2 linked regions of the Ovis aries genome follow. The protein of the gene in region 2 purifies or fractionates together with the protein of the main gene of each other region. This does not show direct contact. Links are inferred from orthologs where the notes say so. Each region holds a gene or a part of one and is shown on either strand. Other genes may lie near its edges.

Region 1 (4,531 bases), on a different chromosome or scaffold from region 2:
AGAGTTGTCAGTTTTAAATTTTTTTTTTTTTCAGATGAGAAAAGAAACCAAATAGATGGCCAAAGGCAAGAGATCATGAGGGCCTGACTGAGGCAATAAAGAATTCAGGAAATGATTTGGGGATGGATTCAGGAGGACTTGGCAATTTGCTAAATTTGGAAAACAAAAGAAGTTAAAGATGACCAACTTTCTGTATATCTGAAGCCTAGACTGGTGGTGATGCTGAGATAAGGTACAGAGAAAGAAGGAATAATGAGGCAGGAAAGCACCCCAGCTGCATTTGCAACCTCAGAGATCTAAGGCAAGATAGCAAGATCTGCCAGGAAGAGCTCTGGATATGTAATCCAAGGTAATCTGCACATTTGTTTTTTACTGTCTCTAACATTTTTCTCCTTTTTGTCCTTTCGCTGGATGTCAATGCTGCTTTTTATAGCTGTGACTCAGAGATCAATGTTCACAAGCCACTCTGTGCCTGTCACACCTAACAAACAAGCCTGCTTTTAAATGGCCCCTGTATCTTGGACGGGCTTCCCTGGTGGCTCAGTGGTAAAGAATCTGCCTGCCAATCCAGGAGACACAAGTTAGATCCCTGGGCTGGAAAGATCACCTAGAGAAGGAAATGGCAACTCACTCCAGTATTCTTGCCTGGGAAAACCCATGGATGAGGCGCCTGGCAGGCTACAGTCTATACGGTCGCAGAGTCGCAAAGGACTTAGACAGTGAACAGTGTTGGTCTGGCTTTCAGTTTCCATTTCCTACTGATGGGCCTTTTTCAGTCTTCTAGATGCCCCACCCTTCCTCTTATAATTCTCCGCAGACAAGTCGTCCTGGGCACCCAGCCACCTGCCAGCCTCTAGCTGTTCCACTAATGTGGAGAGGGATGTAAAAGTCAGGGCTTGAAACAAGTTTTATAAGAACCCAATGCCCCGTGCGGCTAGAGCTGCAGTGATGCTGTTTTCAAGCACAAGAGCTAGCAAAAAGCAACCAGGCAGAGCAAAATGCACTGGGTGGGAGTTAAGGGAGATGTGGGGGCCCTCACAGAGATCCTGCCATCTGTTTTGAATCAGCATCGAACTGATGAACACATGGAGCTAGTATGGCGAGTATAGACAAGAGCCAAGGTTTGCATATCAGTACTGCCCCTTGACCTCTGACCTTGGAAAGGTCCACCTGGCTCAAGGAAACCTCAAATTTTGCTGCTCTTTAGTTGGTAACCTGGGCTGGGTCAAGCCTATTTATAAGCCTATTTATAAATGTAAATTAAATCCAGTGAAGTAATCCAAAATTAGGTAACCCTAATGAGGGCTGATTCACAGAGAAGAGAATTCAACTGGAAAGCTACCTAGGGGCAACTTCAACTCTCACAAAGTGTGCCTTCACCAGTTTCTTAAGTTTGTGCGGCCTTTACCCGATCACTCCCCCATCCCCCACTCACATGGGCTTTATCTCTGTGATACTTTCCCAGTGGACAATGAGTTTGACTGACAAGAGTCTGAACACTGCTAGTACTTATTTAATGATCAATTCAGTGGACTGTGAACTTTGAGGGCAGAATCACCTTGCTTCTTAGGATGTTCGCCAACCTGGCACATAGTGTGTATACAAGTATTTTTAGATAGTTGAATATAAGATTGGAAGATGGTTGCTCAAACACTACACTGGGTACTTGGGACAGAAAGAGGTGCAAAACACTGCCCTCATGAACCCTAAGTTTTGCTCTCTGAAAGGCAGGAGGAGGAGTGCCCCGGAGAGAAGCAGGGAGATAACTGAAATGGGGAGACTGACAAGGGAGGTTACTAGAACTGGGCCTTGAAGTCTGGAAAGGATTTGGAGCGGTGACAGGAGAGGGGCTGAAAGGGCAAGAAGACTTCCAGGCTAACTGAACTGCAAGCAGAACAGCCTGAAGCTGGAAAGAGCGTCGGGGTGGCTGAGGAGCCCTTGCCAGGCAAACAGACACCCGGTCCATCGGGGAAGGACAGGCAATGGTGAGCCAGCCCCGAGGGAGCCTCGGTGCCCTCACCTGCAAAATGGCTGCCACGTCTCTGTCCCCACAGGACTGCTTCAGGAGCAAGAACGCCCAGCAGGCGCCTTCTGTGCCTCCTGACCAGCGGAGGGGCCCTAACACCAACCCCAAGCGATGCCCGCCGGGATAAGCGCTGCGGGAGGCCACAGAGCAAAATCCAACCCCCAGCGGCAAAAGGCGACAATTCTTTCCACTCAGCCGTTTTGCGGGTCTGATGGAGCAAGGCTTCCATTCAAATCTGGCCAACCTCAAAGCCCACCCCAGAGCCTGTTACTGCACATTCTCACACAAGCTCCTTCGTCCTCACAAGCATTCTACTAACAGCATGGAGGCTCTGAATTTGAAACACAGCGCAACACGCCCCGCACGCCTGCGGGAATGCGGACCACCGCTACCTGCCAGCCCCCGACCTCCTCCCCGTCAAGGGCAGACGGGTCAGGTCTCCTTCAGGACTCCCCCTTTGTCCTTTTGGTCCAGTCGAGCGTGTCTCCAACTTCCGAGCACACTGAACTGCCGCGCAGAGCCGGACACTGGACACGGCATACCTGAGGGGCCACGGGCAGCCTGTTCGCGGGGACCCGGCGGGGCTCGGGCTCCACCAAGCCCCCAGCAGGGCGCCACTCCGCCATCACGCGTCGGAGGGGGCCCGGGACACAGCGGACGCTCAACCGAAGAGCCGGACGCTGGGGAGGAAGCGGGGCGGAAGAGAAGAGCGCCCCGCCGACGTCCACGGGCCCCCGGGAGCCCCGCGGAGACGCGCCTCGAGGCCAGGCCTCCCGCTCCCGCCGGAGACCCTTCCTGCTGGGGCCTCTCTCCTCAGCTCCATTTTCCTCCCCCCTGCCCACCACCACCCCTATCGGGCCCCAGCCCGCCACTTACACGTGTCCGCAGGGCACCTGCACCGGCTTCTCGTACACCTCCAGGCACACGGGACACGTGAAGCGGCCCAGGGGGTCGGCCTCCGCCGCGGGTCCTGCCAGCTGCGCACCACCATCACGGGCCTGGGGCTGCGCCTGCGCCGCCATCTTGCCGCCGCGGAGCGCCGCGCCTCAGCGGCCGCGGAAGAGGCGAAGGGGCGGAGCGAGAGCGGGGAGGACCGCTCGGGGCGGGGCTTATGGAACGTATGCCGGGATTGGGGCGGGGCCAGCGGGCTGGCCACGCCTCCCGGCCCCTCAGACGCTAGGGAAAAGGGCAGACCCGGATCCAGAGACTGGTATGAGGGGAGGAGGGATTGTGCTTTAGACACTTTTGCCCAAAATTTAAATGGTTGGTACCATTGCTTAATATTTACGTATGCACTATTCTTTAATCTTTCTCTTCAGTCGAGTTTCAGCAAACAAATTTTACAGGGAGATTTGATATCACTCCCAAGCTACAAATAGAAAATCAACACCACTTATTTCCACAAGGCACGGGGAACAAATACTGTAGAGTCTTATGAATTCGTGCCGGATACTGTTGACGTAGAAAAGGGAGATTAAGCGTGATTAGAGAGGTGTTGAAGACAGGCTATCACCACATTGAGACGTCCTAGTGAAAGCAGAAGTGATAAAATTACTTAGTATTGTCTTCACGTGCCTCCTGGCCACGGGGTCCATCTAGCTCTGTAGAAGATGGGGAGCCTGGGGTTTGGAGAGAGAGACTAAACCTCAATCTTGAAAGCAGCAGGCCTAGAACCCAGACGTTCTGAATCTCATCTTCCTTTACTTCCCACTGTACCCAGCTGGCTCTCATATGCAGCCTGTTATAACGGAAGCTACTTTTTTTTTTTTTTTTTTAAGGCCGGCTTTGCTAACGGGTCTATGCGGTTGTCTTACCCAGGAAAGTCAATGATCAATTAAACTCTATCCTGTAAGGCCACAGAGGCCTCACAGTAAGGAGTCTGCACAAGACAAATAAATCAGTTTGCTAAACCAGGTTAACTGAATGGAAATTTGCGCCTCATTTGGGCCATTCCCAGTCCTCTGGATTGATTCTGCTTGACCTGCTGGCAGCAGGAGGATTATTTTTAACTAGCCATGTGGGCCATCTTTTCACTAACCAGTAACTTGGTGTGTAGGCAGCAGCCCAAGAGAGCCAATGCTTCCATTTTACCATTTCTTTTTCTTGTTCCTATGACAGGCACTGTGCATCTGACATCTCTCCGGCCCAAAAGTGCCCTGTCTCCCCTTCAGGAATGGGGGTGCTTCTGTGGTGGCAGAGATGTGTTGTAGGTGTTTATAAGCTTTTGTTTTGGCCTTGTAACTGCCGCCAGACTGTGCTGTGAGCAGGGAGGGTGGTGAGGGAAGGGGAGTCCCAGACTCAGGCTTCAAATCCACTGAGCACCTCCAGTTTGAGCTCTTGAAATGAACTTTCCATAAATTCATACATACCTTACCTGCCTCTTGAGAAACCTGTACAATTAGAGCTGGGTATGGGACAACGGACTGGTTCAAAATTGGGAAAGGAGTACATCAAGGCTGTATAGTGTTACTCTGCTTATTTAACATATGCAGAGTACATCATGTG
Region 2 (4,558 bases):
ATGGGTGCCTTGGGGTCGTGGGGATGGAAAAGCTAGGCTTCAAGGGGGCCTCTTGCTCCAGGGCACTGAGCTGAGCGGGAAGGCATCCCAGGAGACAGCACGACTATATCACATCTAACAACCATACTCCCCTCGCACCCAGTTTTCCTAAATCAGAGAACAATCAGAGAACAAGGAGCCTGGGGAAACCAAAGGGTAAGGGCAGCCACAGTCTTCTTACCCCCTGGACACCGGGCGGGAAGACGTACTGGATGACGATGGTGCCGTACTTCTCATAGCTGGGTAGTAGGAGTGTGGCATCCTTAGAGACCAGCATCCGCCCGTTCTGGGGCTGGTTGCCCACCAGCTGCCCATAGAAACGGCCACACATGGGGCAGGCCTTCTTCACCTGCAGGGCCCGGGTAATGCAGCCCTCGCAGAACGAGTGCCGGCACTTCTCCAACGTCTTGGCATTCTGGATCTCTCCCAGACAGATGGGGCAGGTGCTCTCCTGCTCTTCTGTCTCTTCTCGAAGGCGGGGAGGAAGAGGAGGGGGTAGCGGAGGAGGAGGTGGGGGAAGCCCCCGGGCCCCTGGGGGCAGAAGTGGGGCTGCTCGGAGAGGGGGTGGGCCTGGGCGGTGCAGCTCAGGGTGCTCCCCTCCACCCCCCAAAGCCAGGCAGCCCATAAGCTCCCCCTGCCTCTGAGCTTTCTTGAGCTCTTTCTCTGCCTCCTTGAGCAGCCCCTTGAGAGCCTTCCTGGCCAGATAGAGCCCATTGGGAGGAGCTGGGGGAGGGCCCTGAGGGGAAAGCTGGAGAACATAGATGTCAGAAGTCTCGCCGTCTATGAGAATGGACACGTGGTGCTCCTCCCGAAGCCGGGCCAGCCGGGCAGGGGTCTCCTTGCTCAGGAAGTCCCACACAGGCTTGGAGACAGTCACTTTGTTCTTGCAATTGCCTCCACAGGCTGCCATTCTGGACAGGACGAACGACACTGCCCCCAGGGTAAAAGGGACTCAGGGTGGGGGGGTCCCCATTTCACAGATATCAGTGCCTCCTACTTCCCATTCCTTTCCGGTCTATATTACCTCTACTCTCTCAGAGCCCAACCCCCATCTCCTCCCCCAAGTTCACGTTCTAGTTCCTCCCATCTTTCAAACTCCAGCACCCTCTGAAGAGCAAGAAAGCTGCTCTAACTTTATTATCATCTAAGGTAAGCATCAGTCTTGGTTCTACACTCCTCCCTAGAGCACAGAAGCATCCTGGCCCTCCCCAACTCTGGACTGGGTTCTGTAAAAGGAAAGGAGATTTCAACCCTCCTTTTTGCTCACTTTGATCCTGAAGAGCTTAGAATTGGCATGCAGGCGCGCGCTCTGTCCCCACTCCCTACTTGTAGGTTGTGTGACCTGGTGGGTGGAAAGGAAAAGGAGTGGAAAACCCCTTCTCCCATTTCCACATGCCCCCACCCAGCAGCCCACAAGACAGACAGAACCTGGGGGTAAATCTCCTGGGAATGGGATTACTAGGAACATGGAATGAAGGAAACCAATTTAAGGGTGAAAGTTGAAGTTTCCATGAAAGGCAGATACCTGGAAAGCCCATGGACGGTGACAGCAGAATTCCCTCTGTTTCCACATTCAGCTGACCAGGACTAGGGGAGGGAGGGGGGGAGGGAGGGAGGAGGGGTTAGGATGACAAATATTACCCTTTCCCCCAGTCAGCCCAGAAGCAAACAAAAACTCCTCCATTTCCTCTCCCTGTCTTTTGCAGAATTTCATCCTCAGCCTCTGGCCAAGTTCCTAAAGAAGGAACTTCAACATGCTAACTTTCCTCTTCCTCAGCTCTGGGCTCTTAAGAAACCTAGGGACACAGATTAGAGAAGTCTGGAAGGGAAAAGCCCACACACAGAGAGGTCTGTTTTGCCACCTCCCTCAGATCACAAGGACAAGAATATCTCCTTTGCTCCCCAGCTTCTCGCCCTGCTCCACATTTTGCCAATAATTCAGCTCCTAGTGCTAGGGTGCCTTCCTTGAGTGTTAACCCAGTCCCTTCTGCTGGAGTCTGTTTGGAATGCGGACCAAGTGGCAGAAGCCCCTGTAATAACGAAGTTCTCGCTGTCACCTTTTAAACCCAGCACACAAAATCCAGGCCTGCCAGCAACCTAGGCTGCATTTCAGGAGGGGTGGAGCTCACACAGGGGATCCGCTGGAGCACCCTGATATTCTCCACCACCACCACCCCCTCCCTGCCCCAGTCTTGCTGTGTTCAGCTACAGAGCTATCCCTACAACACCTCCAAATGCGGCCCAAATAGAAAGAAGGGCCATTAGTGTGACCTCAATTCCTTGACTGATCCAAAAGGGAGCAGCTCTCCGTTTGTGCCTCCTTCCCAGTCCCCTCAAGGCCAGATGCACCTCAAGATTCATAAAGCGAAATCGGAACCCTAGAGCCTCGGCTCTTTCGGTCCATCCAGGTGGAACACCCCCTCCCCATCAGAGTGAAGCCAGGACCTAGGTGTCCTTTGCTCCGAGTCCTGCTGGCACAGAAATGGGAGGCGGGGCCACAGTTTTTGCTGGGTCCGACTCCTCTGGGGCAGCCCAGGCCGGACACGGGGCCAGTCCCTCCCGCTCGAGAGGGGCCGGCGGACAGGGGCAGCCAGGAAGGGCCAGGGTCCCTGGGGGCATCACGGAGGCATCTCCACCCCTCCCCCCCACGACCTCCTGCCAGACGCGACCCGGAACCAACTCCCCGCATCCCAGGCTCGGCAAAGCCCCGGCAGCCCCACCACTGGGTGGGGATGCATGTCGGCCGGATAGCGGGCCCCAGAACCCCCAAATGGAGGCCAAGGCTGGAGGGTAACAGACGGAGGATCGGCGGGGCCGGGCCCGGACCCCCGGGGTCGCGCGCAGGAGAAGGAGACCGAGGACCGGGCGCAGGGGAAGCGGGAGGGCGCGCGGGGGGTGCGAGAAGGGTCCGGGGGGCGCGCGGTGGGTGTGGGGGGCGCCGGGCTCACCTACCTCTCGTCAGCGCCGCCATTGCCGGTCACATGACTGAGGCTGTTGCTGGGATGACGGTCTGGGCCTTAGCAACAAGGGCGGGGGTGGGGGGAGACCCCGAGAAGGTGTGGGGGGGGGAGAGTTTGCAGGGGGTGCAGACTGAGGAAAAGGGAATGAAGGAGGATGGCTCCCCCTTCCCCCTCCCAGGTGATAATCACCGTTTCCTTTGACCCCCTTCCATCCACAAGCCCCTGCCTTCCGCCCCAAAACAGAAATGGAGGCGCCGTCCCAATCTTTGGAGGCGGGGGTGGTGTCGTGGAGCCCAGGGTAGGAGGGTAAATCCCTTAGAGACGCTACCCTTCTCGCTTTCCCCTCCGGAGAGGGGCCCTCTCTCCCTGTTCTTTGCCAGCCAGCTGCGTGGCAGCTTCTGGAAGCTGGTGGCAGATGGGTGGGTGAGGAATGTTGGTTTAGGTAGGTGGGGAAGAGGGGGCAATTTCTCTGTGATCCTTTTTCTAGAAAGGCCTTTGAGGAATAGGAGGTAGGAAGAAGAGTCATAGTAAAAAGCATTGGTTCTAAAAAATAAATCCAGGACTAAGACGTTTCCCTTCTTTATTGCTTGCCTTTTCCTAGATTGTTACCTTCTGTCAAACCTGCTCTCAGCTGGGTATTGATCTCTGATTTTTCTCTTTACACTGAGGCTGGTGCAGAATAAGTGAATACATTCTATCCAAAAAAAATGCCTTGGAGTGATGGTATCAAGTCTATAGTTGAAATAGTTAAAAACTCACAAATCGAGGAGGGAGGGCTGGGGGTAGGGACCGACCCTCTTATGCTTCCCACATCAGAGCCAGCAGTCTCCGCACCCAGTCCAACTCACTTCCCTGGGGCCACATCAAGCCAGGTTTTTCCAACGGTCAGAAGACCTCCTTGGCCAAACAGTACTGGATAGATTTCTCACACTGGCAACAACCTCTGCTGATCCACCCACTTTCTTCACTCCCTCTCCAGGCTGGATGGCTGGTCACTTCCTTCTTTACTTTCCCAGGATCCTGATGTACTCTTTCTGTCCTCCACACAAAGGACATCTTTCCCAGGAAGCCTGGGGAAATACTGGATTCCTTCTGCTTTAGCTCACGTGTGCTTGGTGCTGTTAAGACTCGCTCACCTTTAGAGATGTGTGATCTAGCCCAGAACCCTGGGGAAAGGGGTGGAGGGGGGTCACGTCACCTCAATTGTCCCTGACCCCCCTGTACCTGACTCCCGCAAAACTGGGGAATGTCTTCCATTCCCATGCACACTCCTGGCCACCTTTTAAGCTCACAGCCATCTATCTTGAAACCCACGTCCTTAGGGACCCAACACCTTAAAGATCAGTTCTTTACATGTCACTGCACCCCTAAGCCCAGGCTTCCAAAAAAGAGGAGTGGGGGAGAAAAAGAATTTCTGTGAAGAAATTTGAATTCAATAATTTATTTTCCTTATAGTGACAGCAATGGGAGTAAATACACGAGATCTTTTTATTAATAAAACAAAAAAGATGAAAAACAGAAGCAACAAATGAAAACCATAATGCTTATGATACATCAGC

Evidence for each region.
Region 1: the proteins of DTX3 (region 2) and RNF114 purify together in Homo sapiens (affinity purification with mass spectrometry; 3 studies listed by BioGRID and IntAct, counting the BioPlex papers as one, with this or other methods). This does not show direct contact. The link is inferred for Ovis aries from reciprocal best matches to the Homo sapiens genes DTX3 and RNF114.

The regions. Positions count from the first base shown.
Region 1 is NC_056066.1:78,024,008-78,028,538, reverse strand, and holds the start of RNF114 (E3 ubiquitin-protein ligase RNF114), read right to left. Parts: upstream 3,060-4,531; 5' UTR 3,049-3,059; coding exon 2,903-3,048; intron 1-2,902. UniProt on the Homo sapiens protein: E3 ubiquitin-protein ligase that promotes the ubiquitination of various substrates. In turn, participates in the regulation of many biological processes including cell cycle, apoptosis, osteoclastogenesis as well as innate or adaptive immunity.
Region 2 is NC_056056.1:162,059,914-162,064,471, forward strand, and holds the start of DTX3 (probable E3 ubiquitin-protein ligase DTX3), read right to left. Parts: upstream 3,027-4,558; 5' UTR 2,992-3,026; intron 1,627-2,991; 5' UTR 1,565-1,626; intron 1,382-1,564; 5' UTR 1,336-1,381; coding exon of another isoform or gene 1,308-1,335; coding exon 1,307-1,307; intron 970-1,306; coding exon 221-969; intron 148-220; coding exon of another isoform or gene 33-147; exon of another isoform or gene 1-32. UniProt on the Homo sapiens protein: Regulator of Notch signaling, a signaling pathway involved in cell-cell communications that regulates a broad spectrum of cell-fate determinations.